Linked DNA regions of Astyanax mexicanus. The protein of the gene in region 1 purifies or fractionates together with the protein of each later gene. This does not show direct contact. Links are inferred from orthologs where the notes say so. Each region holds a gene or a part of one and is shown in the gene's direction. Other genes may lie near its edges.

What was found.
Region 2: the proteins of ift57 (region 1) and ift172 purify together in Homo sapiens (affinity purification with mass spectrometry; 3 studies listed by BioGRID and IntAct, counting the BioPlex papers as one, with this or other methods). This does not show direct contact. The link is inferred for Astyanax mexicanus from reciprocal best matches to the Homo sapiens genes IFT57 and IFT172.
Region 3: the proteins of ift57 (region 1) and ift22 purify together in Homo sapiens (affinity purification with mass spectrometry; 3 studies listed by BioGRID and IntAct, counting the BioPlex papers as one, with this or other methods). This does not show direct contact. The link is inferred for Astyanax mexicanus from reciprocal best matches to the Homo sapiens genes IFT57 and IFT22.

What each region holds. Positions count from the first base shown.
Region 1 is NC_064411.1:27,937,502-27,947,782, reverse strand, and holds the start of ift57 (intraflagellar transport protein 57 homolog), read left to right. Parts: upstream 1-3,596; 5' UTR 3,597-3,880; coding exon 3,881-4,035; intron 4,036-5,767; coding exon 5,768-5,942; intron 5,943-7,140; coding exon 7,141-7,259; intron 7,260-7,373; coding exon 7,374-7,461; intron 7,462-8,472; coding exon 8,473-8,539; intron 8,540-10,281. UniProt on the Homo sapiens protein: Required for the formation of cilia. Plays an indirect role in sonic hedgehog signaling, cilia being required for all activity of the hedgehog pathway.
Region 2 is NC_064408.1:56,344,277-56,354,557, reverse strand, and holds the start of ift172 (intraflagellar transport protein 172 homolog), read left to right. Parts: upstream 1-4,820; 5' UTR 4,821-4,939; coding exon 4,940-4,978; intron 4,979-5,500; coding exon 5,501-5,644; intron 5,645-6,366; coding exon 6,367-6,479; intron 6,480-6,602; coding exon 6,603-6,642; intron 6,643-6,740; coding exon 6,741-6,806; intron 6,807-6,893; coding exon 6,894-6,973; intron 6,974-7,086; coding exon 7,087-7,174; intron 7,175-7,479; coding exon 7,480-7,694; intron 7,695-8,123; coding exon 8,124-8,247; intron 8,248-8,363; coding exon 8,364-8,459; intron 8,460-10,281. Other genes in the region: uncharacterized protein LOC103024580, read left to right, coding at 2,707-2,858. UniProt on the Homo sapiens protein: Required for the maintenance and formation of cilia. Plays an indirect role in hedgehog (Hh) signaling, cilia being required for all activity of the hedgehog pathway.
Region 3 is NC_064408.1:15,181,385-15,191,665, forward strand, and holds ift22 (intraflagellar transport protein 22 homolog), read left to right. Parts: upstream 1-5,817; 5' UTR 5,818-6,142; coding exon 6,143-6,181; intron 6,182-7,434; coding exon 7,435-7,517; intron 7,518-8,198; coding exon 8,199-8,288; intron 8,289-8,880; coding exon 8,881-9,083; intron 9,084-9,188; coding exon 9,189-9,337; 3' UTR 9,338-9,428; downstream 9,429-10,281. Other genes in the region: ftr82 (finTRIM family, member 82), read left to right, coding at 231-290, 963-1,031, 2,407-2,927; atp5l (ATP synthase subunit g, mitochondrial), read right to left, coding at 9,957-10,055. UniProt on the Homo sapiens protein: Small GTPase-like component of the intraflagellar transport (IFT) complex B.

The sequences.
Region 1 (10,281 bases):
TCTCTCTCTCTCTCTCTCTCTCTCTCTCTCTCTATCTCTCTCTCTCTCTATCTCTCTCTCTATGAAACCCACACACACTCATTGATACACGCATGTTTAAATGCCGATATGCATTTGATATCTTGATAGTCTTAGCAGTAATACAAAAACATACATATATTTCTTAAATAAAAGCGTAAATCCTACTTGAAATTCAGTACAGATATTATCATTAAAACATCATAAAATTGCTGTTTTGAACTGTTCATCAGTCCTGCATGTCGGCTTGGAGGAATTTTAACCCATTCCTCCATACAGAACATCTTCAATTCTGGAATGTTGGTGGGTTTCTGCTGCTTCAGCTCCTTCCACAATTTTTCTTTTTTACTGGATTAAGATCAGGATTTTGGCCAGATCCCGTTCCAAAATATTCACTTTGATCTTCTTCGTCCATTTTTTGCTAGAATGACTCATGCACTTAGGGTCATTGTCTTGCTGCATAACCCACCTTTTTTTGAGATTTAGCGCAGACAAAAGTAATATTAATAATAATATTAATACTATTAGTTTCCATGAGGATTTGCTGGCATAATTCATTATTCATTATTCCATCAATCATGGCACATCCTTCATTTCCTGCCAGCATTAGCTAACTAAAACAAATCACTTTGTATTCTTTGAAAAACAACAATGGTGCCAGAGAACTATGTCTGGAATGATCTTGCTATAGTAAAAAAGCACCACACAGTGAGTTTGGAGATATTTACGGGAACTTGAGCAAATAAGATATTCTTATATACCTCACAATTAATTGTACTACTGTTTTTAACAGTTACATCATCAATAAAATGGGTCAAAATATCTGTGGCAGCCATGCCCGATCCATGACACCTCCACCACCATGTTTAACAGGTAGGTAGGTAGGTTTGCTTTGAATTGTGGGCCCACTGTTGCATGGTCTTTAGTCTTTTAAGCACTTTTTTGCACACTGTAAACTGATTATTTTGCTAATCTGGCCAGAATACTCTGCCTTTTTGCCGTCTTTTGACTATTTTTTATATTTATAAGACTACACAAGAATGATATTTTACTTCAGACTACACAGGAACGATACTTTCTGTCATGCATGCATTCACCCATTGCAAGCTGCACGACAGAGTAGACAGTGACAGGATGGACAGTTACAGAATGGACAATTTAAGAGAAAACTGGCATTTGTTGAAAACTGGCATGTTTGAATGTTCATGGTGAGGTAGTTCTGTTTCAAAGATACTGAGATAATTACTGAGATATTTTACTAAAAGACTGTGGACAGCTTGAGCTTAAACACAGCTTAATATGGAAATAATGTGATTCATATTAAATTAAATTGCTGAACATGCAACAAGTGTCTTAAGTTTCTTAAGGTTATGGTATCACTGATGTAAAACGTTATGTTAAAGGGGCGGGGTTATCCCAAAATGACAGAATGGACAGGGAATTCTTGGAAACATTTAAATAGTTTGATATATGTATATAAAAAGCTAAATTAAAAATGTCAGTGCCTAAAAACTTTATACATTTTTAACACAATTTAAAAAAGGTTATTTAATCCCCTGAAAGAATCATTCAACTTAACTAAGCAGCAAAAACCTTCCCACATCAAATAAAGCTTTAAAGGCCTTTAAAGTAGATCTATATTTTTATAATGTGTTAATTAAAAAAAATTGTATTATACAATGTTTGTAAAAAATTTAAATAAATATTTCACAGACGTATGGAGACATTTGTCTCAAAATGAGTGGAGTAGAACTTAAATCAATAAAAAAATAACTGATTTTTTGGATTAAATATGGATTCAAGGATTAAATTAACTTGACCGGTGATTCTTTGTGCTTTTTTGAGTTCTAAAATTCTAAGTTAGACTGAGTATTCCTACAATAAGCAAAACAATCTTACACATACACAATGCTTAGTGAGATAAAGATTCTTATCAGAGAGAAAAAAAAATGATTGCCTTGAAATTAGATAATTTCACATTTTGTGCATATTGTGACTTCAAATTACATGAAACAATGTGAAAATTATTCTTAAAATAAGCAAATATTCTTATACTTATACACAGTGCTTAGTAAGACAACCAATCTTTTCAGAGACAAAAATAAGATTTGTTGCCTTAAAATTCAATCATTTCACTTTTTGTGCTTGTTTCGAGTTCAAATTACTTTAAATAATGTGAAAACTCCTAATTATTCCTATAATAGTCAAAATAATGTTAACATTACACAGTGCTTAGTAAAACAAAAATATTTATCAGATAAAAAAAGGTTTATTTCCTTACAATTAGATAATTTTTGTGCTTATTTTGTGCTAACATAAGGGAAAAAAGCCTAATTATTCCTAAAATAAGCTAAGAAAAAAAAATCTTACATTTATACAGTGCTTAGTAAGAAAAACAATCTTATCAGAGGAAAAAAGAAATATGTATTGCCAGGAAATTAAATAAGTGTTATATACAGTGTTGACGAGTCTAGCTATATTTCTATTTCTATTTATTCTATATGAAATTGTCTATCTATTGACTGACTAATACAAACCCGCCTGTATTTTCTAAATGTCTGATCTAATTGACCATTTTTATTGACATAACTGAGTGTTTTTGTAGTGTGCAGGTATTACTGCTAAACGTTACTGAACAACAGTTAGTGAGCCAGAGTTGCCAGGTTCACGGTTTTTCCGTCAAATTGGGCTTGTTTGAAAATCCAGTCGCGGGTGAAAATTCAGGGGTGGCGGGGTGCGTTTTTCGGGCTTCTTTTAAAAATTACCGCGGCCACCAAAAAACAAAAACAAAAAGTCACACCCCCCCCCCACCCAAAAAAAAAAAAAAAAAACATAGTGTAACCAGAAATCACTAGGCAATTAAAAATAATGAAGAGGAGTGAAGAAAGTTCAGGAGGGGCAGGAATAGAAAAGAGTAAGTAATTTTATTTTATTTTTTGCTATTTATGTTATTATTAAATGTTCTTGACTGTGATATAAAACTGTTATAAAATAACTAATAAAAAATACTAATGTAACACTATTATTAATGACTGTAAGTAAATACTAAGCCGTGAGACAGACAGCTCTGGAAAAAAATTAAGAGACGACTTCAGTGATTTTGCTATTTAATAGGTACATGTTTGAGTAAAATAAACATTGTGGTTTTATTCTATAAACTACGGCCAAATTCTCCCAAATTCCTGAAAAAAATTGTCATTCAAAGTTTTATTTGCACAAAATGAGAAATGGCTGAAATGACAAAAAAGATGCAGAGCTTTCAGACCTCAAATAATGCAAAGAAAACAAGTTCATATTCATATTTGAGTTCAGAAATCAATATTTGGTGAAATAACCCTGTTTTTAATTACAGTTTTCATACATCTTGGCATCATGTTCTTCTCCACCAGTCTTACACACTGCTTTTGGGTAACTTCATGCCTTTACTCCTGGTGCAAAAAATTCAAGCAGTTCAGCTTGGTTTGATGACTTGTGATCATCCATCTTCCTTCGTGATTATATTACATTATGTTTTCAATTTGGTAAAATCACAGAAACTCATCATTTTTAAGTGGTCTCTTATTTTTTTCAGAGCTGTATATTTTGGGCTAGTTTAAGCTTCTGAATGGCGGGTTCTAAACTGACTTTGGGCTGGTTATGTTTTTAGACCTGGCAACCCTGTAGTGAGCTACAGGCTAAACTAAGCTGCCAACAGTAACTACAACAAACCGCACAGACACCAGCCCAGCATTAGCAGCGGCTAGCGGGATAACTTAGCTAACCTAGCTAACTGTACACCCTTCTACAGCACAAAAGAGGCTTTAATTTACCCATCTGACGAGTAAACTACAGCTCTCTAACCCGCTGTAGTTTAGTGTACAGTATGGCAGAAGATGGTAGAAGAGTGGAGGAGGATGAACGGGGTCCAGGAGCTCAATTTCAGATGTTTGTGGTTATGGAGGATATGCTGGATAAACTGAAGCTGCTGGATTATGAGGAACATGTTCTGGTTAAACACAACATGAAAACGCTGTCCAGGTAAGAGTTCGGCGAGTTAAAACAACAAAAAATGAGATAGACTAGCTTATTATAGCATTGTTATTAGCCTTAGCTGGCTATTTTGTTTCTGGATCCAGGTCCAGAAAGTACCTGTCCACCCCAGGATTTCGTTCCAACTACCTGAGCGGCTCTGCTGCAGCTCAGAGCCACCCAGACAGTTGGAACTAAATCCTGGGGGTGGATCAGTACTTTCTGGACCTGGATCGGCCACTGTTGAGTAAATTCAGCAAGTCATGTAGCTATCTTCATGTAATGTTATTTAGCCAGTATTTAAAGCTAAGCCCGTAAAAATACATGTATATATAGCTCTGGAAAAAAATAAGAGACCACTTAAAATGATTAGATTTTACCAAATGAAAAACCTCTGGAATATAATCAAGAGGAAGATGGATGATCACAAGCCATCAAACCAAGCTGAACTTCTTGATTTTTTGCACCAGGATTAAAGGCATAAAGTTACCCAAAAGCAGAACATGCCAAGATGCATGAAAACTGTGATTAAAACTACGTTTATTCTAACAAATATTGATTTCTAAATTCTTTGATTGATTTCTTTGCATTATTTGAGGTCTAAAAGCTCTAAAATGGTATTTTCTGCAAATAAGTTCTCTAAATGACAATATTTATATTTGGAATTTGGGAGAATTGTTGCCTGTAGTTTATAGAATAAAACAACTTAAACATATATCTATAAATAGCAAAATCAGATTCAAAACAATAAAACCACAAGGACCTCCAAATTCTGCCTAATCTGTCTTATTGTGATAGAAGAATTATTGCACACATTCTGTAAATCCTATAAACTTAATTTCTCTTCTCAAATGTCACTGTGTTCGTCTGCTATATGATACATTTAACTAAAATTGCTGATCCAAACAACCAAAAATTTATGAAAGGAAATCCTGAAAATGATCAGGGGTGCCAAAACCTTTTCATACTACTGTAATGCTACTGTAGGATCTTGTGGAATATTTTGCTAAAACACTGATTATTGTTGCTTTTTAGAGCAGCTCTACATAAAAATAATCCTGCCAGTTGTACAGGGGTTAGACAATGAAACTGAAACACCTGGTTTTAGACCACAATAATTTATTGTCCCGACGGACAGTTCTGGTGGAAACAGGATAGTTGAGGTGCACATTGAATTCTGCCGTGATTTGATCAGGTTCTTTTATGTTTTTTGGATACACTCCGGGTTAGCACCCAAACATCCCTTTCAGACAGTTTCCTCTTACAGCGTCCACAGTTAATCCTGTTGGATGTGGTTGGTCCTTCTTAGTGGTATGCTGACATTACCCTGGATACCGTGGCTCTTGATACATCACAAAGACTTGCTGTCTTGGTCACAGATGCGCCAGCAAGACCTGCATCAACAATTTGTCCTCTTTTGAACTCTGGTATGTCACCCATAATGTTGTGTGCATTGCAATATTTAGAGCAGAACTGTGCTCTTACCCTGCTAACTGAACCTTCACACTCTGCTCTTACTGGTGCAATGTGCAATTTATGAAGATTGGCCACCAGGCAGCTCCAATTTAGCCATGAAACCTCCCACACTAAAATGACAGGTGTTTCAGTTTCATTGTCCAACCCCTGTATTAGTTATAATATTAATAATATAACATTGATTGTCCTCATTTTGTCTGTGTTTCTCTCTTTGTCCTTGTCTTTTTCTTTCTCTTGTCCTCCTCACTGTTCCTATTTTTCTCAGGCATTATTTTGTGTCGAGTCCATACACAGCGAGCAACACGGGTGAGCAGTTCTACATGTTCAGTGTGATTGCAGCCTGGCTTATAACACTGTGTGGACGGCCGTTTGAAACACCACAGGAGCATGATGACCCCAACGCCACCGTCTCCAACATCCTGTCCCAGCTCCGAGCTCTGGTCAGTTACAACAAGGCAGAAACATTGAACATTGAAGAGTGTGCATGAGTAAGAAAGTATGAGACAGAGACATGGGACATAGATGGGTCCCCTCGAGATGAAGGTGGGCTGTAATGATGAAGCTCATTTGGGAATTCCAACTGTGTCTCAGTAACAACACATGTACAAACCCATTCAGAGCCCATGCCCATGTCTTGAACCCACCTAGCCTGTGTTCCACCCATGTGAATCCCACATCATGGAGCCATCAGAGCAAGATTGGGAATAGGGGTGTGCCATAACAAATCTGCTAACATTTTTGAATATCATGAACGATATAATACCCTGAAATATCGTGTCATATCACCCACCCCTAATTATCACATCAGGGTACTCCTTCTTTTTTTCAACTGTTTTTAGCAAAAGAAAAATTCACACTGTTCTCGTTTCCCATTATATATCTACTGGAGATTTTATCTGCCCAGTATCATTTATTTTACTTTAATCATGGATATATTGAGATATATGGAGTGCATTATTAGTCCTGTTAAAATCTTATATATTTTTTAATGTCTCAGTTAGGGGTGTGCCGTAACATATCATATGCAATAATAACATTTATTTTTTTCATTTTGTTGCAGTAGTGTATTTTTTATATATTTTTTTAAATTCAGTGTTCTGTGGTATCACCAAGAGTATCATTAATGGTAAAATACTATGAAATATTGTGTTTTTATTTTAAGGCCATATCGCCCACCCCTAATTGGGAATGTCCAAGACTAGACTATGTTCTGTGTCTTGTTCTCTCTCTGTCTTTTTTATCTCTCACTCTGTCTCTCTGTCTCTTTCTCTCTCTTTGTCTCTGTGTCTCTTTCTCTGTCTCTTTGTCTCTTTCTTTCTGTGTTTCTTTTTCTTTCATGTACTCTGTGTCTCTTTGTCCCTCTGTCTCCTTTTCTGTTTCTCTCTCTGTCTCTTTCCCTGTCTCTTTCTCTGTTTCTTGTTTTTCTTTGTCCATCTGTCTCCTTCTCTCTCTCTCCTCTCTCTCACTCTCTCTCTCCTCTCTCTCTCTCTCTCTCTCTCTCTCTCTCTTTCTCTCTCTTTGTTCACAATGTTATGGAGGCACTGTAGTTTATATTAGGAGACATACACACTGCTAACCTTTTCTGTATGACTGTGTGTGTGTGCATGTGTGTGTTTGTGTTTGTGTTTGTGTGTGTAGGGTGGGGTGGTTGATTTTCCTCCTTCTAAACTAAAGTCTGGTTCTGGAGAACATGTGTGTTATGTCCTGGACCGCCTTGCAGAAGAAGCTCTGAAGAGTAGAAACTTCATCTGGAAAAAGTAATACACACACATACACATTTACCCATACTTCAGTAAAGCTCAGCAAATGAGATAATAATAGGAACTTTAAAGAATATTTTTTTCTGACTCTCTGATTGCCTTTTCTGTCAGGCCCGTCTACCCCACTGAGGAGCTGGAGGAGGAGATTGTGATGGAAGATGATGCTGAGCTTACACTGGATAAAGTGGAGGAGATACCTGTAAGACAAACACATGCACACACACACACACACACTTAAACATTCAGTTGCAATAAAAAGTAATTAAACTTGTTGGAATTAAATACATTTAAGAACTATTGACAGAGATAATCTAGAAAAAACAAAAAGTGAACTAACTTCACACAGTTGTACTTTTCATGGGGGAGGTTCACAAAATCTTAGTACAGCTAAGTACTTTGTTAACTAATTGTTACTAATGTTTGTTAATTAACCAGCTGTACTTCAGAAAATTTACTACTGTCAAGTCCAAAGTCAGTACAGAGTTTTCCCGCAAAATCTTACAAAACTTTGTGCTTTCCTCTGCTGACAACTCTTATGGAGATGTGGATTTCATTTTCCAACAGCAATTGGCACACAGCCCACACTGCCAAAAATAATTATCACTCTTATATAATATTGTAATTTTCTGAGATACTGACTTTTGAGTTTTCATTAGCTGTAAGCCAGAAATTAAACGCTTAAAACAGGTCACTCTTTGTGTAATACATCTATGTAATATATGGGTTTCACATTTTGAACTAAATAGCTGAAATGAAGTAACTTTTTTCAATGATATTCTAATTTGTTAAGATGCAGCTTTAGCAGAAAAAGTAAGGACATTTGTTTTTAGTAAATGATTTCTTTGTTGTAACAATGCTTTTTGGCAATCTTTTAATGTTGGAAAGCATGTTAATTTCCCTTTTAAATGAAGCCACATTTGTAAGGAATATGCATTTGTGGGATGAGCGGCAGAGCTAAGTATGTGGGTTGCCACATGAAAAAATAGCCAAATCCTTCTTTTGGCTAATTATACGAAAAGATTTATTGCCAATAAGCATTTTTACATCAAAGAAATAATCTACCAAACATAAATTTCCTTACTTTTTGTGCTATGTTTCCGAAGATTCAGACCATGACCAGTTCAATGCTGAAATTTAGGTTTTTCTAATGTAATTATAAGTTAGGAGTTGAATACAGTAAATTAAATTCTGTCTGTGTTTCTGTGGGTAGGAAGAGCCTGATGAGGAAGAGGATATTATTGATCTGGACGAGCTAAAGAACAGAACCATTCAGAGCGTAAGTTAAAGATCTACCAACATCATCTCTACTGTCCAAACCAGTGTTCCTAACCAGTACACTTGCACATGTTATGTGATGGATAATTATTATTATTATTATTTTTTTTTATAAATCAGAAACTAATCAGCTAGTTTGACCATCTGGCAGAATATGAGTGATTATTTAGCTCAGGGACTGCAGGTAAAGGCCAGTTTATGTTTCTGCTTTGATTCTGCACCATAGCTATCTAGCATATAGCAGTAAAGTGTTCTGTCCGTTTAATTGCAGAAAGATGCAGACATGCTAATGCTCAAAGATAGTACCAGTCAAATGTTTGGACCTTACATTTAGTGGGCTTTTTTTCTTTATTATTTTAAAATGCTCTGCGTTGTAGATTAATACTAACATCATCTAAACCAGGGGTGTATTTTCTTGTTGCGGGCCAGAAGAAGAAACACATGTGCAGTCATGGAAAAAGTTTGGACACCCCTGATCTAAAAATTCAGAATATATTTTATAATTTAGATTCTTAAAAGTAGCTTCTCTTGTTTAGGTGACAGTTTTGCATGTCTTGGCTGGATTTTCTCAGTCATTTTTATGAGGTAGAATCACCTGGAATTTAGGCTTTCAGTTAACAGCTGTGCTGAACTTACCAAGAGTTAATTACTTGAATTTCTTGCCTCTTCATGTGTTTGAGAGCATCAGTTGTGAAGTTGTGAAGAGGTAGAGTTACAGGTATACAGTGAATAGCTCTAATTGAATAATGTTCTAATCCAGATAATGGCAAGAACTACTCAACTAATTAAAGAAAAAATACTTTTTAAGCAATTAAGGTCAGTTAATCTGAAACAAATTAAGAGGTTTGAATGTTTCCTCAAGTGCAGTCACCGCAAAGACCATCAAAAACATTCTAATGAAACTGGCTCTCGTCAGGACTGCCCCAGAAAAGGAGGAACAAGAGTTACCTTTGTTGTAAAGGATAAGTTCATCAGAGTTACCAGCCTCAGAAACCGCAAGTTAACAGTTAACCTTAGATAAAAGCATCTAAAGGCTTCACAGAGTATTTTGGTTTGTTTAATACTTTTAAGTTACTACATGATTCCTTATGTGTTCTTTCATAATCTGAATGGCTTAAGTATTAGTTTACAATGTACAAAAAATAAATTAACAAATAAAAATATGAGTTTGTCCAAGGTGTGTAGACCACTTTTGCAGGCCACTGCACCAAGCCAAGTGTAAATTGGCTTTACACAAATTGGAAAAATTCTTGCTTGTGAAAGTAGAAAGTTTGGTTTTATTGTCATTGGGAAAAGCTGAATATGATACAGTGTATTTCTTTTTTGTTTTGTTTTGTTTTTTTAATACTCTCTCTCTGTTTCTCTTTGTCTCTTATCCTCTGTCTCCACAGGAGGTGAGCAGTCCTTGTTGTATGATACTTCTGTAATGTCAGTATGCATACGTAGTATGTTCATGAATTACATACAGCTTAAAAAAGGGAAAACATAAATGGTACAGTATTTTTTTTTCTTAAACTTGTACTAATGATAGACATGTTTTCTCAAAGATGTTGCAATTGTTGTATAATTTGAAATTAAGTCACATTTATAAGAAATGCCAAACGGTCAGTGTGCTAGCACTGCAGGACAGTTTGCTCAGTACCATTTTAATCCTTTCATGTTATTGGCTATAAGGTGAGCTAGGGTTGGGCGGTATGACGGTATTTCGGTTTACCACGGTATATAAATATGGTGACGGTATTGT
Region 2 (10,281 bases), on another chromosome or scaffold:
GAAGTTCTGGCTCAAGCTTTTGTACAGGTTCATGGATCTGCAAATTTAAGTAGTGAGCTGGTGGCCTGCAGGAGTAGAGTCCTTGCACAAAACCCTGAGGTATTAAATAAAAAGTTGGTGTTTGATAGTGTTTTACATAGTGATCTTACTTTACTAGAACTCAAACAAGCCATAGTGAGATCTGGCCGAACTTCCCCTGGTAAAGATAATATCTGTTATGATATGTTTAAACATCTCACAGACAAATCTCTTAGTATAATTTTGGACTTTTATAATGAAGTTTGGACAGCAGGGCAACTTCCGTCAGCTTGGAAACTGGCCATAGTGGTACCGGTAGGAAAGCCAGGAAAGGACTTGTCTGATACAGCTGGTTATAGGCCTATTTCTTTAACTTCACATTTAAGTAAGCTTATGGAACGCATGATAACAGAAAGGTTGTCCTACTTTCTCGAGCGTCAGAATAGCTTTTCTCCTTATCAGAGTGGTTTTCGTAGAGGCAGAATGACAATGAACTTAATCCTAGGTTTAGAAGCAGATATCAGGAGGGCACAGCTTCATAAAGAAGTGGTTGTTGCTGTATTTTTTGATATTGAAAAGGCTTATGATATGCTGTGGCAAGAAGGTTTGCTAATTAAGCTGTCTGTGCTCGGAATCAGAGGGAGGATGTACAACTGGGTAATGGATTTTTTAATGAATAGGTCCATACAGGTCAGGGTGGGTACTTCTTGTTCTAAGGTGTATTCTATTGAAAATGGGACTCCGCAAGGCAGTGTCTGTAGCCCTATTTTATTTAACATTATGATCAATGACATCTTTTCTGGGGTTAGTCCTGACATAGCAAAATCTTTGTATGCAGATGATGGGGCTCTGTGGAAGAGAGGGAGGAATCTATCTTTTGTTAAGCGAAAGATGCAGGAGGCAATTGTTGGGGTTGAACACTGGGCAAATGAATGGGGATTCAAGTTATCTGTGGCTAAATCCCAGGTCATCTATTTTTCTAAGAGATCAAAAACAAATGAACTTGGGCTTAAATTGTATGGTCAGACTCTTGAACAGGTGAAGGTAGTCAAGTTTCTTGGTCTGTGGATGGACTCGAAATTGACCTGGAAGCATCACATTATGAAGAGCATAGACAAATGCAAAAAAGGATTAAATGTCCTTAAATGCTTGACGGGAAGTGACTGGGGGGCTGACCGTTCCTCTCTCCTGTGCATCTATGATGCTCTAATTAGATCGGTTTTTGACTATGGCTGCATGGCCTATAGATCAGCTGCTGAGTCAAACCTAAAATTACTTGATGTAATTCAAGCACAAGCACTGAGATTGTGTTGTGGTGCAGTTAGATCCTCCCCAGTGGCTTCTCTACAGGTTGAAACAGGAGAAATGCCTTTGCAGTTAAGAAGACTTGCATTGTCTACAGTATATTGGTCCAACCTGAAGGGGCACATAGAGAGCCATCCAGCTGTGTCTGTTCTACATGATTGCAGTACTCCTCTTCATGGTCCCTCAAGGAGTTTTGGGTTTCTGAGCAACTCAGAAGCAGGCGAAATGGGATTGCAGGCTCGTGCTTTCGGCAGTACTGTTCCTATATCAGTGGTACCACCTTGGATGTTCCCATTGCCTAGTGTTGATTTTTCCCTCCTTAATAAAAAATGGAGTGATGCAGGAAGTACAGCTGTTATGGTAGAACAACATCTGGCACTTAATTATTATGGTACTCTGCAGGTGTATACTGATGGGTCTAAGGATCCTACTGTGGGATCCACATCAGCAGCGGTCTTTGTGCCAGAATTTCATGTGATCATTAGTAGGCGACTGTCTGACAACCTATCTGTATTTTCCTCCGAGCTTGTCGCCATTCTTTTAGCATTGCAGTGGGCTGAGGCTGTTTGCCCTATGAGGATGGTGATTTGTTCAGATTCTTTGTCTGCTTTACAAAGCATCCAGTCTGGCAAATCTAAATGTAGACAAGACCTAATTTTAGAAATATCTCAGGCATTATTTCGTTTACACATGCAGACTATTTTAGTTCAGTTTTTATGGGTTCCAGCACATGTAGGGGTGGACGGTAATGAGACTGCTGACAAAGCTGCTAAACAATGCCTGAAGAAAAATAGATATGACCTTGATATCCCTCTTAGCAAAGCTGAGGCAAGAGTGGTTATAAAGCAACATGTTAGAACATTATGACAGACTAATTGGGAACATGAACCGAAGGCATTTGTTTGCAATACAACCGGTTGGTTTTGGAGGGAGTGGAGGGTACTGTCGGAGGCAGGAAATTGTACTAACAAGGCTCTGAGTAGGTCACAGTATGCTGAATGCCTCTTTGCAAATAATACAGAAACACTCCACAGGGCTTTGTCGCCACTGTCCGCAGAGGGAAACCGTGGACCATGTTCTTTTTTGTTGCAATAAATATGCTGTACAAAGGAAAATTTTGTTTTCTTCTCTTAAAGACAAGGGTCACAAAGAATTTTCTTTGACAGGATTGCTTTCTTATGGGGCAGGGATGGGTTCGGTTCACAAACTGGTTTTTCAATATTTGAAAGCTATTGGTATATTTTACTTTATTTAATTTTTTTTTCTCTCTCTCGTTTACTTTCTTTTATTTTTATGTACTTATTTATGAATTTCCTTTCACCTACATTTTGTTTATTATTGGCCATGTCACTTCCCGAAATCACACTTCACACTCCTGCTCAGTAGGTGGCGGTAATGCACCTTCAGTTGGTCTGCCATCCGCCATAAACCTGAAAGAAGAAGAAGAAGAAGAAAGAAGGCGGAAACTGCGGTGCTACCGGTTAAACGTAGCGCGATTTAAACTTCTGAACAGCGGTGAAGCTGAATGTGTATAAGTATTTTACACAATACTACATTAACAGTTTAAACACATTTATGTGCTACTGTAGTTAGTCCTGCCTATATGCCGCTCTTAAACAGAAGTAACTGAATGAAAACGTTAGAAAAGCCCTGACTTTTTTTTCTGGAATGGCACTTTCGTGATTTTTTTTTCCTTTATTGTAGTAATTGCATTAAATCGTGTATACGTGTGTGTGTGTGTGTGTGTGTGTGTATATATATATATACGTACACATACGTATACACAATTTAATGCAAGACAGACAGACAGACACTTTATTGATCCCCGAGGAGAAATTTTGGAATTACCGCAATAAAGGAAAAAAATCACGAAAGTGCCATTCCAGAAAAACGAGTATTTTAATCTTTGATTTAAAAATATCTAAAGTCAGGGCTTTTCTAATCTAATTTCAGTCTACTCTCTGGTCTCTTGTTGTTGCACATGCGTCACATGGCTCAGCAAAGCCAGCCAAACCGCCACGCAGGTAGGCTCAGCCTGGCCCCGCCCACTCAGCGCTCTCCTCGAGTCGACACGCCTCTACCTCAGGAGATTTGTGTTGAGTGATATTTTTTTACACTCTGTTTATTTAAGAAAAACTTGCATTTGAATTGCACTGAAAGGAAGACAATTCCTTATTTTTTTTATTGTTTTTCCAAATGACAATTCTATTAAAAAAAAGAAACAAAGAAACAAAGAACTAGAAAAGATGTCTAGTGAGGGGAGAATTTTTATTTTATTTTTTTATATTTTTTTATTTTATATTTAAACTTTGTTTTGTTACTGTTCCATTGTTTCTAAACAAAAAATGTTGATTGTGATACTAAAGTATTTTGTTATCAATGTTTGGTGAAATTATATCCTAGGTTTTTGGATCATTTGGATCTATAAAGCTTAAATATTAAAAAGTATCGGTATCAGTATCGATATCGGCAATACTGGCCCTGCGTTTACTTGGTATCATATCGATACCAAAATTCCCGGTATCGCCCACCTCTACTGTTCAGAAGTTTAAATCGCGCTATGTTTAACCAGTAGCAACGCAGTTTCCGCCTTCTTTTAACAGATCTGTTAAGGTGATTGGCTGCAGTAAAAAATGATGGACAGTTTGGTCTGTGTGAGGATTGGCTTAATAAAAAGTGATTGACAACAAAAGTGTAGTATCTGATTGGCTGCAGTCGACAATGATTGACACATGCTCCGCCCTTTAGCCACGCCCACTTGGGCTCCGGCCTGCAGCATTACATAGATGGGGAACTGCACGATGGAGATTTGCGTCACGCCGGCGTCTTTGCAGTTTCCCTCTTACCCGGTTAACCAGAGACTCTCTATTTCAAGGGAGAAAACCCACTTTAGAATCTCCTCCGGGTTTGTTTCACCACCAAAGGAAGCCTCTGAGTCAGTCTAAAAGTAATGTGGGGAAAATCAGAGTTAATTAATGATTAATTATTTTATACGGTAAAATGTTCTACTTTTTAACATAGAACAATGCCATGTTACCAACAATAATATGTTTCAGCGCCGCAGACATCATTTTATAAACGTTTTAATATCAGCAGCATCACTCCAGCATCAGCTAACCAATATAGATAGATAGATAGATAGATAGATAGATAGATAGATAGATAGATAGATAGATACTTTATTGATCCTGAAGGGAAATTAGCAGCCAGTAGCAGTTACACAACACAGTAGAAACAAACAACATTTTAAGTAAGAAACAGTAAGAAAGCACTGTAAGGAATATAAAAAAACAAGGTATGTTTTCTTTGCTTTTAAGCAAAATACACATCACATTAAATGTCTACATTTAAAGTTTCAAATAATATCTAGGACTAGAGGTTAGTTACTGTTTTTAGTTCTTTTAGTCGGTTAACTCTATTCACCCCTATTCATTTTGTACTCACTTGCGGGCTCCCTCTAGCGGTAATGTTCCGCTATAACGACGAAAGTGGGAGGCCTCCCCATAAACCGGCTCTGTCACTTCTTCGTGGTTCGTGCGTCTTGACGACGGTAACCAGGAACGGAGATTTAGCAAATATCACCATCGATATTAAACTTCTTTATAAAATATACAGCATGCAGCTCAAACACCTGAAGACTCTTCTTACCCCACAGGTAATATTAAAGGACAGCTGATGAGGTTAGCTAGCAGTGTTCCACGGCTACTGATAGGATAAAACATTGCTAGCTACGTTAGCGTAGCCTTTTCGATTGTCTCGTATTACAGATTCAGCATAACAGTAGGTTAACTAGCGTTATCTAGCTAGCCAACCTAACTACTAAATGGAATAGCTGGCGTTTAGCTTTCCTGAAAACTGGGGTGAGGGTAGAAATTAAACCTAGTTATCTAACACAGCGTTAGCTAGGTTAGCATACGGGAACCAATAAAATGCCACTAAGGTAACACATATTTTGCTAGTCAGCAAAATAATTAACTTAAGTTACTGGTCTAAATATGTAGATAACCCCCAACGTAAATGTGTTCTAATTAGTTACTAAGAGTTAACGCTGGCCTTTGTAATAAAACAAAAAAGCTTAGCTAGTGTTTATGCAACCAGTCGCATTTATATCCCACGACCCAATATATCTCAGGTCGGTTTTTCTGGCTGTCCAGTAAAACTCTTTATTTTCTGACAGGACGGGGCTGCCAAAGTGACCTGCATGGCATGGGCACCGAACAACGCCAAGTTTGCCGTGTGCACCGTTGACCGGGTAGTTCTGCTGTACGACGAACAGGGAGAGAGACGGGATAAGTTTTCAACCAAGCCTGCAGACTCCAAAGTACGATAAGTGTGGGGCGACTTAACTGCTTTTCCTTTTACTAATCTGACAACGTATATTTTTCTTCATATCACGATACGCTTCATTCCGTACCCTTGCTTTTTTCCTGAGTATGCCTCTTTGCGATACAGATTCAAATGTAAGATCTGCAATTCGAAAAAATAATTTCAATTGTATAATTTGAAGTGTTTATAGGTACAGACTACTCAACAATCTAATAAAATCTCCGTGTACATGTACTGTAATTTAAGTAATCTGATCGAAAAATTTGAATTGTATAGAATATCACGTAGTGTAAACGTTACCATGACAACCAGCATCACGTGTCCAGTCAAAGTAGGAGCAGCAGGAGTTTTCAGCTGGTGTGTGTTTGTTGTTTTTATTAATTTAAATAATTCACTCAGGAAAGAGTTCTTCATACTCACTTTTTAAAGAAAGAAGGTCAGAGTCCGCCCTACCTCTGAGAACACCAAGCCTCTGGATAACAATGCTGTTAGGAGGGATGGAATCATATAAAAGATTATCTGACCCTCCCAGTACACATGGTTTCAAATCTAAGTATTTTCTACTCTTGACATTTCTACTCCTGGTTCAGAATGAAGTCATTATTTTTAGGAAGCATGGCAAGAAGTTTTTGGCCAGTATAGTCAGCAGCTGCGCCCTGTCCTTTCTCCAGTGCATGCTTTATTTATTTATTTATTTATTTATTTTATTTTTTACAGTATGGAAAGAAAAGCTACATGGTCAAGTCTATAGCATTTTCACCGGATTCCACCAAGATCGCCATTGCCCAAACTGATAATATCATATTTGTATACAAAATTGGAGAAGATTGGTAAGTATGTCAGTTTATCCTTAATGTTACTTAGATATAAATTTTATATTTATGTTAACCATCTTTAAATTAACATGAAACCAAAATGTCTGCCTCTATAACCTGATGTTATCTTAATGACAGGGGTGACAAAAAAGTTATCTGCAACAAGTTTGTACAGACAGTAAGTTATATGTATGTAGATTTATAAATATGGAGTAAAATGACAACATTCTACATATAACACGGTATGTTAACTTCTCATTTATTCCATTATTACAGAGTGCTGTAATATGTCTGCTTTGGCTAGCAGAACACTCTATAGTTTTTGGACTGGCAGAGGGAAAAGTAGGTGCCCTAAGTTTTACAGAACGTTTTAAAAAATGTGTTTAAAATGCATTTGCATCATTAATTAATAATTTTGTTGACATGCAGATTCGTGTGGCCAACACAAAAAACAACAAATCATCTACAGTCTATGGAACAGAATCCTATGTTGTCTCGCTGACTTCAAAGTATGCCCATATATGTTTTTCTTATAGTTCTCTGTACCTCTGCCATCTTTTTGAAGTTTTGTATTATATTTGGTTTTGCACATACTTACTTTATCCCAAACTGTATGTGTTAGTGTCTCCGGTAAAGGAATCCTTTCAGGCCATGCAGATGGGACTGTTGTGCGGTATTTCTTTGAGGATGAAGGTTCTGGTGAATCCCAGGTATCACAACCAAAAACAATAAGTACAAAAAAATGAATACAAAAAAGTTCTAAATATTGTTTTTGCACATTTACACTATGAAACAGTAAGGCCAGTCCCCCTTTTTGCAGACTGTGAATTTGTAGTTACAGGAGTAACCAACATGAAAACCAGAGAACTGACTAGGATAAAAACAAGCAATTGTAAAGCTAAGAGAAGATGAAAAATCAGTCTAGCAGCAGAAAGAAAGTGATTGGTCTCACTGTTCCTTTTGGATAAGACGGTACATAGTAGAAGATTAACTGGAATCTTTTGTGCTTATTAAGGGCAAATTGCTCACACACACCTGCCCACCATATGCTCTTGCATGGGGAAGCAACAGCATTATTGTGGCTGGGTCTGATAAGAAGATTGTGGCATATGGCAAGGAGGGCCATGTTCTGCAGATGTTTGACTACAGCCGGGATTGCTCAGAGAAGGAGTTTACTGTTGCAGCCACCAGCCCCAGTGGACAGTCAGTAGTGTTGGGCAGTTATGATAGGTGAGTATGCTATTTACATGCTATTTTCCATACGTTTTCTAGTAAATCTTTAATGTCATGCGTTCGGTCACACCATGGAACTTTAGTTTAATCCTCAAGTAGTTGCAATTGATTTTTTTTAAAAGTTATATACTGTACTGTTTGCATGCATACATACACACGAGTACAATTACATTAAATCATCTGTGGAGTGCAACAACATTTTTTTTTCTCATGAGTGGAAAAAAAAAGTAATTGTGCAGAAGTGTAACCCTTCCTCTTTTCACCACACCCAATTCACATTTGTTGGTTGCAAAAATAACTAAACAACAATGGCTAGGGGAAGGAATTAGAATCATATAATAATGTATGTTAAATGTTAAATAATAAGAATTAATCATAATTTATTGTATCATAGATTTAATAACATTTTCCTGCATTGTCCTGCAGATTAAGGGTTTTCAACTGGAGTCCTCAAAGAGGTGCTTGGGATCAGGCATCTCCCAAAGAAATTCCCAACCTGTACACCATTACGGCTCTTGCGTGGAAAAAAGATGGCTCACGGCTCTGCACGGTGTGTTTTGGATTACCCACAGACCAGCCAGAGTATTAAAGTTGCCTGTTAAAAAAGGCTGGCTTCTGTTGTAGTACATTATTGAAGCAACACCTTTTATCCTTATTTTTGACCAGGGTACGCTGTGTGGTGGAGTGGAGCAATTTGACTGTTGCCTTCGCAGAAGCATCTACAAGAACAAATTTGAGATTACTTATGTGGGCCTTAATCAGGTAGGTTCTTTTTTAAACTTTAATGTAGTTTTAATTATGTCTGATGTTTATAATTATTTTCTGTCAAAGTCAAAGTGAACTTATTTGACATTGGAATAAATGAAGAGCATACTACATTAGACCGAATTATGCCTATTAAATGAAGATGCATAAGAAATTGTTATGCTGAAAAGTGCGGAACTTTAAGGGAAGTTTTTTCGAATTTATGGAATGAGCTTTAGTCAAAGACTAAAAAGGGCAAGTAAGCAGAAGCTATAAACTTTATTTTCTCAGTGCGAGGAATGAATTTGGCTCACATCCAGGACTAATTTTAAAATGGCAGCCACATAAAAATAGGATTTTTTTATATGGCAACTGCATTGATTAGAAATATATATTTTTTAACATGACGCTCGAGTGTTTTTTTTTTTTCGTTTTTTACTTTACTAAACCACAGACATGCTTTTTTTTTATAAATCACTTATTAAATGGGCTAGAGATGTATTTCATTTAATTCAATTCAATTTTACTTCTATAGTACTTTTTACAACAGAAGTTGTCACAAAGCAGCTTTACAGAGAAAAACAGGCCCATGCCTCTTATGAGCAGCACCACAGAGATATCAATTATTGTGGGACACAGTGGCAAAAAACTCCCTTTAAGAGGAAGAAACCTTAGGAGCAACCAAGACTCAGTCAGAGGAACCCATCCCCCTGGGGTGGACCTGCTCAGTACAAAGAAATAACAAACAACAAACAAATAACAGAACAAAACAACAGTACAGAGAGATAACATGAGTTAGAGCTAATGTAACAGGTACTGATTTATAAATGTAAAAATGTGATGGGCACATAATGGAGAGATATGGATAATGTAGAAACAGGTACTAAGCTACAATGTAAAAAGGTCACATAATTGATAATGAAGAGCTATGGCTAATATAGAAACAGATTCTGAGTGTGTTCATGTTGATCAGTGCAGGGTCGTAGAGCAGGGATGCAACACAGCGAGCAGTGAAGAGCCAGGCTGGGCAACAGGGTATCTCGATATATGTAGAAGAGATAGATAGAGAAAACAGAAAAGCAAAAAGATGGAATTAGTTTTGACTGGATTTGACTGGTCTACAAACCTGAGTGGCTGAGTGGGTGAACAACAGCACCAGCATTCAGTTTACCACAATTCCCTATGTCCGTGAACCCCTGGATCTGCAGCCTGATCTAAAGGAAAAACATTAATTACCGAAAGCTAGACCAAACAAGTAGGTTTTTAGTCTAGACTTAAAGATTGAGACTGTGTCTGAGTCCCGAACATATTCCGGAATGTTATTCCAGTGTTGGGGAGCTTTATAAGAGAAAGCGTTTTCTCCTGCAGAAACCAGCACTTTGTGATCTAAGCAATCGCGGTAATTCGTAATAGAAGATGAGGTCTTGCAAATTCTCAGGAGGGAGCCCGTGTAGGGCTGTATACTTTAACATGAGAATTTTATAGTTTATGTAGAATTTGACTACAGAGGTGTAGAAAAGCTGTTCTAGTAACATTAGATGTGTGTTTAGCGAATTCTAACTATAACTATAAATTCTAGTATAACTGGAAGGTATATCATTTATCACAAACTGATAACGATTGGTAAAGTATGATTTAAACCAGTTACACCGACCATGTTCTCTAATCTTTCTAGAAGGATAGTATGATCTATTGTATCAAAGACTGTGTTTAGATCGAGCGATGTTAATAAAAATCAATATGTTTTAATAAATCTTGATCAGGGCACTCTGGTAAATATTTTGATACTTATATTGTTGGAATATTTTAACAAATCCACAAATATTAGAACAATTTGTAA
Region 3 (10,281 bases), on another chromosome or scaffold:
GTCATGTGATGCAGTCGAAAAAGTAAATAGTACTTGGAAGCATGGCTAGAGTGCGGTACACAAGCAGTTCAGTCCCCTGAGTCCAAGGGAAGGTGTTATGTAAAGAGATTTGAACTGCTGATTAGGCAGCTTTGCGAGTGTTACTCTTTACTGTGTTTTGTGTCCAACAATAACAACTGGACTATGATTCATGAAACCCTGACACTTGTGCTTTTTCTGGTGTCTTACAGTGAATGAAGTGCCTGTTTATACACTGGAGAACCGCACTGTCCGAGAGAAGAGCAGCCGAGGTGAGCCCTGAGCATTATTACGCAAATGATGAGTCCAAATAATGTTAAATTAATTGGTTAGACTTTATTTGAAGACTACCTGCGTATGGGGCTTCATACCACAATGTGTTTATATAGCAATAATTGAATCTTTATTAATTGTTTATGCCAATACATGACAGTCCATAGAATGGATCGGACACAGCAGTGCTGCTGGAGTTTTTAAACACTGTGTTCACTCTTTTAGACACTATTATATATGTTTTTAAGAATGCGGATGTAAGTCAAAGACAGAAGCTTTGATTCTGCTGCTGCACAGTTTGTGTTAGTCAAAATAAAGTGGTAACACATTTTCCAGGCAAAATACCTTCATTTCCTTGAATTCCCTGAACATATTATGTGTTAAGGTGGCTCTTTCATGACTCATATATTCTATAAACCTTATATATGAAGTTTTGTTAATATATACAGTAGAAGTTGTGAGTACCGTCATAAGCTATATATTTATAATTACATTGTTCAATGCTAAGAAATGTGGTATTAAGCCCTCTATGTTCTTCATCTTTAAATAAAGTGTTACCATTTATTCTAAAAAAAAAACACAGTAATGCGAAGTCTAACTATAGATATAACAGCAACCAATATGACAGTATTAACTTTACATTGACTGTTCGCTTTCTCTCCTACGCCCAGTCAAAGAGGTCCATGCTGTGGACAGCGCCCCTCCTTCACAACCCAGGAGCCGGTCTGACTTTCTAAAATGTAAGTAGATTATCTTATTATTTCAAAGAATGCTTCCGTCAGGTTGAAAGAGTCCACCCGGGCTAAGATGACACACCATCCCTTGTAGTTCACAATACTACCCGACGTTGCCCTGACAATGCTCTGACAATACTACACTAAATAATACACAATAGGCCTGTATGGTACAAATATTGATATTCCACACTTTCACAACCTAACACCATCAATAGGTGTTCTTTGATGTGCTGCCCTAAAAAATGTTAGCTTTTATTGGTTGTAGGCCTGTTACCATAATTAATACATTTTACTTATTAAACAATATTTTGACACAACCTCAATAATTTTTGCTGTACTTAATAGTTGATCAATTGTGCTTAGTTAGCCCAAAAAGACCATTAACATGAACATGAGCCGGTGTGTGGCAGTTAGAGCCAAATTTTAGATTATGTTATTTTTGTAATTCTGGTTGACACAATATAATTACCATATATCGGTATGAAGAGCATAAAAGCCACCACTCATGGTGTATGTAATCATGCACCGACAGAGTTGAGCTATATGGTGAAACTATTATACTGTATCTTAACATTTAAAGACAATTTTATGATACACAGCATTTAAAAACTGCAAATTAAATACTCATGCAGTATAGTGATTTTCAATATATATATTTTTTCTGCACATCATCCAATTAAACATTTTACACTTTTTTTTTTTAAATTAAATATACATTGGGTCAGTGTATATTATATTAAAGCATATTTTCAAAGAATAAGTAAATTTGGCTTGATATCATAAATTATTGTCATGTTGCCCTGCTCTAGTGTCAACTCTGTTTTTAAAATATCCTTTTTATTTGATTATGTTTTATTTATTAGGTTTATTTATTGTATGTGTGTGTATTTTCGAATCCCACTGTCTAAATTCCTTTAATAATTAAAATGTTTATTGCTTATTAATAGGGTTTAACTGCATAAATATGCTAGTATATTATAATCATATCAGTGTCAGAAAACTATTGTCAATAAAAATGCCTAAGAAATTGCCTAATTTTTGTCAATAAAACAAATGCTAGTGTTAAAAATCTTTTCGAGAACCATTGCTAAGAACCCTTTTATTTTTTGTTGTGTGACCTACTGATAGGGCTGGGCGATATGGTAAAAAAAATATAGTATCACAATATTAAAAAAAAAATTACAATATATGATATTTCTCACAATACATTCAATCGCACACAAAATGCATCACTACTGACAGAAACTTAAAACCACTTTTCAAATACAAGTGACTTTTATTCAAAATATACTGTCTTTATCACAATATGATCAAATATCACTTTATTGCCCACCTCTACCTACTGGAATTGACTAAATTTCTTTCTCTTTGCCTCCAGACTTCTGCCAGCTCCGCCTGGATCCCAGCACGGCCTATAAAGAGCTCTATCTGTCCGAGAGCAACAGAAAGGTGACGAGAACCCGCAACCTGCAGCCCTACTCAGACAACTCGGAGCGCTTCGACAGCTTCGCCCAGGTGCTGTGCCGCGAGGCCCTGTCCGGCAGCCGCTTCTACTGGGAGATCGAGTGGAGCGGAGAGTTCTCGGTGGGCGTGGCCTATCGGGGCATTAGCCGCAAGGGCAAAGGCTCCCTCTGCTTGCTGGGGTACAACGATAAATCCTGGAGCCTCCTCTGCTCTGACACTGGCTATTCAGCCTGGCATAACAGGGTAGACAAAACCATCAACGCCCCCCACTCTCCCAGGCTAGGGGTCTACCTGGACCACGGCGCAGGGCTGTTGGCCTTCTACAGCATTGGCGAGACCATGACGTGTCTGCATCGCTTCGAGACCACGTTCAGCGAGCCCCTCTATCCAGGTTTTGGAGTCGGAACATCAGTTAAGATCTGCCAGTTGAAATGAACTTGAAGGATTTGCGTCTTTTAGAAAGAGTCCGAAAAATGAAGGACTGAATATTTTCAGCAGTGTTTCTGTTTTTTGCTATTTTTCTACGCCATATATTATGTTTTGTATAATTTTCAGCCATCATTGAAGCCATTACAGTTTTACTTTGTGAAAAAAAAAATCTTTTTGAAAAATCATTTAATTCACAAATTGCAGCAGGGCTTCAAATGGGTATTAGAGGAAAACCACAGAATAACCATATTTGGTTCCATAAAGGTATTAATGGTTCCATGGTTTAAATAAGGCTTTTTAATTATATTAAAAGTGGTTCTTCTATGGAATCCCTCAAAAAAACATTAGAAGTCCCTTTATGTTTAAGAGTGTAGAGAGAAAACCACTAAGATGTTACTCAAGCATTGCCATGTTATGCTGTTCTTTGTCTAATAATATTGTTTTAAATACTAAACCTTGTATTTATCCAAACACCAGGTGCCACATTCATATTTGTGTTATTCAATGACCTATTCAGATTAAAGTTTTTTTTTATCTTAAAATGTGTGTTTGTGTTTTGTAAGAGCTATTTTTTGGACAATGGAGCTCAGAAAACTCTGTTTAGATCTGGTGACTGCTGCATTATATTTGGATAAAACCATGCCACACAAAATAGTAAATAGGCCTGTCATGATAACTATATTTGCCAGGACGATATATACAGTAGATCAAGAAATAATTGCAATAAACAATATTATTGGAATCATATTGAATCATATTACAGTCTGACTAAATGTCAATTAATACTTCTGCCTTGAGTTTTTGCTTTCTGAGTGAAACTTGGCATTAGCATGGCACTTTGAGGTAGCTCAACATTTCATTGGTGGGAGGGGGAGATAAAACAGAATACACGCTTTATCTCCGCCCACTAGTGCATAAAGATATATAACCAAAAGTAATTTCATAAGCAGGAGAGTCATTTTAAAAATAATTTTGTCTTTTGAATTTAAAGGTTTAATGTAACATATTAAACTAAATAACTAATTTTAAGATTAAGATAACTTTGAATCCACCAGTTAAATCCCAGATTAATGCTATATCACTGTAAATTCTTTAAACTCTTCAGTTTCAAATTCTTCAGCCCATTCATACAACGAAAATTGTACAACTCTTCTGGCAAATCTACACAACCTACTTACATCTGGCCTTCTGCCACGGCCTGTTCTTCCAGTCTGCACTGTGTCTCTGAGCTTTAGGAAGGAAACACGCTCCCAGCCCTTTCCTTTACTGTTCCTTCAGTGAAAATATAGAGAAGGAGCTGGCAATCCTCTCAAAAAGCATTTTTGAATCACATTTTTGATGTAAAACACTGCAGCTGCAGCAGTGGCTCTCATTTGGCTCTCTGTCCCATATTTTAGGCATTGCAAGCTCTAATACACTTAGTCCTGATAAAAATCTGAGCTGGCTTTCCAGAAAACATCTTAGCCCAAAGATTATTTTCTTTAAAGGGAGAAAGAGCATCACACTTTGTGCAGGAAAAGCACAGATGGAAATAGTCAAACGATTGAAGGGAAATTCCTGTTTACAGAGAAACTTAGCAAAATCTGATTATATGACCCAGGGGATTTTTTAGGTATCACTTGAATTTATTATACCTGAAAAGCTTAATGCCTAAATGTTTCTCAAGAGAAAGCACATGAAATGTTTATCAACATGCTGCCAGATCTTTCAAACTTTGTTTTTCACAATATATGGTTTTAAGCACATTCATTTCAGAGATATACATGAGGGATGCAGTAAGGCCCAACAAAACTGCCCTTTAGACCAAAGACCAAAATATCTCAAAAATAAGACAGTATTTCTGCTGGTTTTCAATACAATTCAATTCAATTTTATTTATATAGCGCGTTTTACAACAAAAGTTGTCACAAAGCAACTTTACAGAGAAAGACAGGTCCACGCCTCTTATGAGCAGCACCACAGAGATGCAAATTTTTATGGCGACAGTGGCAAGGTTTTCCCGGTTTGTGTCACAGTAACTGTCTAATCAGAATCAGAATGAGTACTATTTTAACTGTAATGTTTTAGCTGTAATAAAATGTTTTAACAGCTAAATTATATATACATATTGAGACTATATAAATATTTTTTTTCTGCAGATCTGCTCTACAGATCTAACCATAAACCACAGTTTGGGATAAATGAGTTTATATTTAATTTCATCAAATGCCTTTATGATGCATTTATGATGCTCCCTCTAGCGGTGTGCACTCATTCTGTTCTAATAAATCTACTCATTTTCATGGTGTGCCCTCTGTTGGTGTAGAATAGACAACGCAAGGTATATAAATATCTACATTATTTAGTGACTGAACAGTTTAATCTTAATTTCAAATGTAAGGTTTATATTTAAGATATACTACACATTTTTTGAGCCACTTATGTCATAGACATCTGCTCTTTTATTATTATTATTATTATTATTATTATTATTATTATTATTATTATTATTATTATTATTATCTTTTTTTTTTATTATACTGATGTGGCTAGTCCAGAGTCCTTATTCCAAACATTTGGTTATTTAGACTTATATAATTATATACATTTATTGGCTAATTTTCTGACTAATTAAAAATGAGAAAATGTATAATATATACTGAATCTTTTCAATTTTATATAAATCCCTTTTCTTTTTTATGTTAGTTTTTTAGGGGGGGGGGGGGGGGTTGGTGTTTTTGCTTTTGTATTTTTGTAATCATGGTTATTTGAACTCTGTTTGTGACCTGATTTTGTGTTTTCTTTTGTGTTTTGGATTGTATGTTGTGCAAAAATGAAAAAAATAAAATAAAATAAAAAACGAGTCCAGAGTGTCGAATGTGTGGAAGTAAAATAAGGCGCTGATTTGCGCTGCAGCACCATGACAACGAGAAGTGTGGTGTTATTATTAGTTAGCTTATTGTGGCTAATGCTAACGTAAAGGAGGCTCGGCTGCTGTATTTAGAAAAATTCAGTTGTTTATTAAATAGATCATGCGTTAATATTTAATCCACCAACACAGCTAATCTAAACACATCGGGGGTTATCCAGAACCACTGTAAATAAACAGATAAAGCTAACAGTAGCGTTAAGCAGTTACGCTGGGTTAGTTAGCTTTAGCTAGCCAGTTCACAGTAGTTAAATCAGCTTGTTACTGAGGGATCTGCAGTCACTGTAATGTCTAATATCTAATTTTCTAAAAAATGTTAAAAGTAAAAATACTTTTAATCGGACCCAGCGAGGTAAGCAGATTCTTATTCTTCATATTTACTTTATGCTCTGTATATACTATTATGTTATATACTAGTAACTTATATCACTTTATTTTTATTTATTAAGCACTTTCTGGACATATACCACCGTACATCACACAAATGCTCGTTAATAATAACACAACTTACCAGACTCGCTCCAGTGACTGGATCACCTTTTAGTTACTGAGAGTTTTTACTGAACTGGTAATATCTGCTTTTAGCTACAGATCATTTCACTACAAGAAACTCTAAATCATTTTAAACTTCTAGTCTCTAACCACCTTCAGACAGCCTGCCACTGTTATAGTTTATATTATATTTTATCTTTTAATTCATGTATTTTCCATATGGATTTTTGGTATGTTTTTGTGTTGTCTTGCTTAATTTTTTAATTATTATGATTTTTTGTAGCTAATTTTAATTTTAATTCTTTTATTTCATTTTTTTTTATCTTTTTTTATCTCTTTTTTATCTATAAGATATGGCTTATTTTTTTTTTAGTTTGGTGATTTTAGCTACAAGCCTGATCAACCTGACCAAGCTAGATAGCTGGATAACCAGTATGACCTAGCTTGACCAAGCTGTTCATCTAGCAAGACCAGTAAAACCAAGCTGATTGACCAGCATAGCCAAAATCAAATGTAACATAGTAGTGGATCTAAAAAAAATTAAATATCATAATTTTTTTTTTTCAGTGATTCATTTTAAACTCACAGAGTGATCTATTTTAACTGTTTATTTATTTTATTGTTGATGATTAGGCCATGTCATCTGCTGGTGTTGATCCACTGTGTTATATCAAGTCTAAAATCTTACAGCACTTCATGCTTCCCTTTGCTGACAACTTTAATAGAGATGAGGATTTCATTTTCCATCAGGACTTGGCACACTGCCCACACTGCCAAAAGTACCAATTGGTCTTATATAATATTCTAATTTTCTGCGACACTGAGTTTTGGGTTTTCAATGGCTGTAAGCCATAATCATCAACAATAAAATAGATGAACACTTAAAATAGATCACTCTGTGTTTAATACAACTATATAATATGAGTTTCACAATTTGAACTGAATTACTGAAATAAAGTAATAAAGTATTTACAATTATAGTTTTTGAGATGCACTAGTACACTAACCAGAGAAATTAGCTATCACTATAGGGTTTATAACTTATTTCCTAATTATGCCATAACATCTTGTAATGCATGACGCATACATTGTTTGATATGTTTATGTTGACAGTGTGGAAAGACTGTGCTGGCAAATTTTCTCTCTGACACTGTGGAGACGATTGAGGCAGATTACAGTCCCACACAAGGAGTGAGGTGAGATTTATATGGAAACTGAATATCACTAAGAACTGAGCTTTAAATTAATAAACCACAAATAATACAGTGCCTGCCTAAAAAATAATGTGGGCTAAATGATGTGGGTTGATGCTGCAGTTGGTCTGCAGGTTTAGGTTCAGCAACAGTATGTCAGACAAACCAAGTCTCCCTGAAGCTGCGGGAGTCTCCCGCATTTCGGTAGTGGCTCCCTGATGCCCGGGAGTGGGGTAACCTCCCTGAAATCAACTTTTGCAACTTGGGATGTCTGGTATGTGCTGAAAGAATGAGGTTATACTGAATATACTGAATATAGAACAGGTTATTTTTTCTTCCTGATGATCACGAGCATATTCCAAGATGACAATGTCAGGATTCATGGGGCTGGAATTGTGAAAAAGTGAATTGTTCAACACAGAGTCCAGACCTGAACCTCATTGAGAATCTTTGGGATGTGATGGAGAAGCTTTGTGCAGCAGTCAGACTCTACCATCAACACTGAATTTAAATAAATCTTGTGACATTGCAGAAGTTTATTGAAACAATGCAACAAAGAATGCGCACAGCAATCAAAACAAAATGCAGTCCAATGAAATATTAGGAGTGTGACCATTTTTTGGCCTGGCAGTGTATACGTTTGTGTTTTGTTTTTCTTAACTAATTTATTTCTATCTTCATAAGGATACTGGAGTTTGAGTCACAGCATTTGGGAAGTGGTTCGAAAGACTCTGCCTGTGAGGTGGAACTGTGGGACTGTGCCGGAGATTTCAAGTGAGTGTTTTATTTTTTTATTTTTTTTTTACACTGAGGTCAATTCATGACCTTTGTGTAGCAAATAAAATAATTTTCATTTTCCCATCTCTGTTTTTTTTATCCCTAGAATTAAACTAGCTGTTTTATGTACTGCAACTTTAAGACTGCTATATTTACATTGCCTTTGTTTTGATTGGCTGCTTATTAGTGTGCCTCCAAAACAGTCTATACTGCAGCACTCTTCAGTCTATAATGTCAGTGGGAATGGGTATGGCTAAACCACTGTAGGTTGTTGCAGATTAGTTCTAATACATAAGTGAACGGTATGTTTATATAGAATATTTACATAGTACAGCAATCTCTATTTTTTTAGTGAGTAACATCTACTTAAACGTGATATGGGTTCTTCAAATAAGATTTTTTCACATTACATCTATTTTAGTTCTGTATTATTGACAATAGTAGCAGACAACAATACATCAAGCCTTGCCTTATTCAGTTTATTAAACCGGGTTGTATTATTAGATTAATTTACCTGAATTTCACATTCATGTCTTAAAAGTTTGAATTAGGTCTTTTATTGTCCACTTCTAATATATTGTTGATACAGGTATGAAGCATGCTGGCCTGCTTTGATGAAAGACTCCAATGGGGTGGTGATAGTATTTAACCCTGATATTCCAAGTCACCTCAAGGAAGTAGAAACCTGGTACTCTACATTTATCTCTTCACAAGGCCTGGCAGTGGGGCAGTGCCTGCTCATAGCACATCATAAGCCTGGCAGTGGAGCAGATACATCTCGCCCTCAGTTAGGTGAGACTGTGAAATATGCTAAACCTGGTTTCTCATAACAGATACTAGTATTGATGCACTGGGCTTAAGAGATTCATGTTTTTTTGCCGTTTTTCCTCCATGCAGCTTCTCAGTTGAATAAGTTGTCCCTCATTCACTCCAACCTGGAGGAGGATGCTGAAGATGTGCGTCAGGAGTTCCGCAGATATCTGGGAAACGTTGTGCAGACATTGTCCGAAAGTAGGGAGCGTGAAGAAATGTCAATTATAGCATGATTTCGTAAAAGTCTCTGTGCATTTTTTGTATATACAGATCATTCATATCAAGGATTCTTCTGTTACCAGGTTTGTGATTTAAGTTTAACACAGTACAGTCTTGATCATCCCAAAACAACCCATTTTATTCAAATAACTTAAAAAGCAAGCTCATTGAAAGTATGAGAATTGTCCAGTGCATTCCACAATATACACCTTCGACTATTCCATGTTTGTATACTAACAGCTTATTGTAATTTTTGCACTGCATAATATTTTTTTTTTTGTTAAAAACAAAAAGGCTGACCAAATAAATTAAACTCAGTTTAAAAATTCACTCAATTCATGCAGCAAGAGGTGCCTTATCTTGCATATGCCAAAGAGTAATACAAATAAATTAAAGTCATGAAGTGATTAAGAGCAAAATTTACTTGGAGTGTATGTGAGAATTGTTGAACAGGACCCAATAAAAAAAAGTTAAGACATTACCCATCCATGTACTGTGTAAAAAAAAATAATAAATATAAATAAATAAAAATCAGGCTGGTTTTGTTGTTTAACAATAGACATTTATTTAGTTCCTGGATTCCAAGAAGTTCTAACTTAATACAAAGGAACACGCAACAAGAACAGTCCACATTTACACATCATATCCAACAATGCCCCCCTTTCCAATGATCTCGCCAATGTAGAACCACATCAGAACTTCTGTGGCAACAAGACCATTCCTGAAGGCATCCTGTGGAAACAATTGTGTAGTGGTCAAATGTTATTGAACAGAAACTATGACCTGAAATCGCACGGAAAGTTTTACTTTACTAAAATTCAAAATCTTAATAAAAGCAGTGTGAAGCAGGAGTAAAATTGGAAAAACAACTGAAATAAGAAAATGTGGCTGCTTAGCCGATAACATGCATAACAACTTAGTACGAGTTGATCACACTCTATGGAACATAAGATACAGT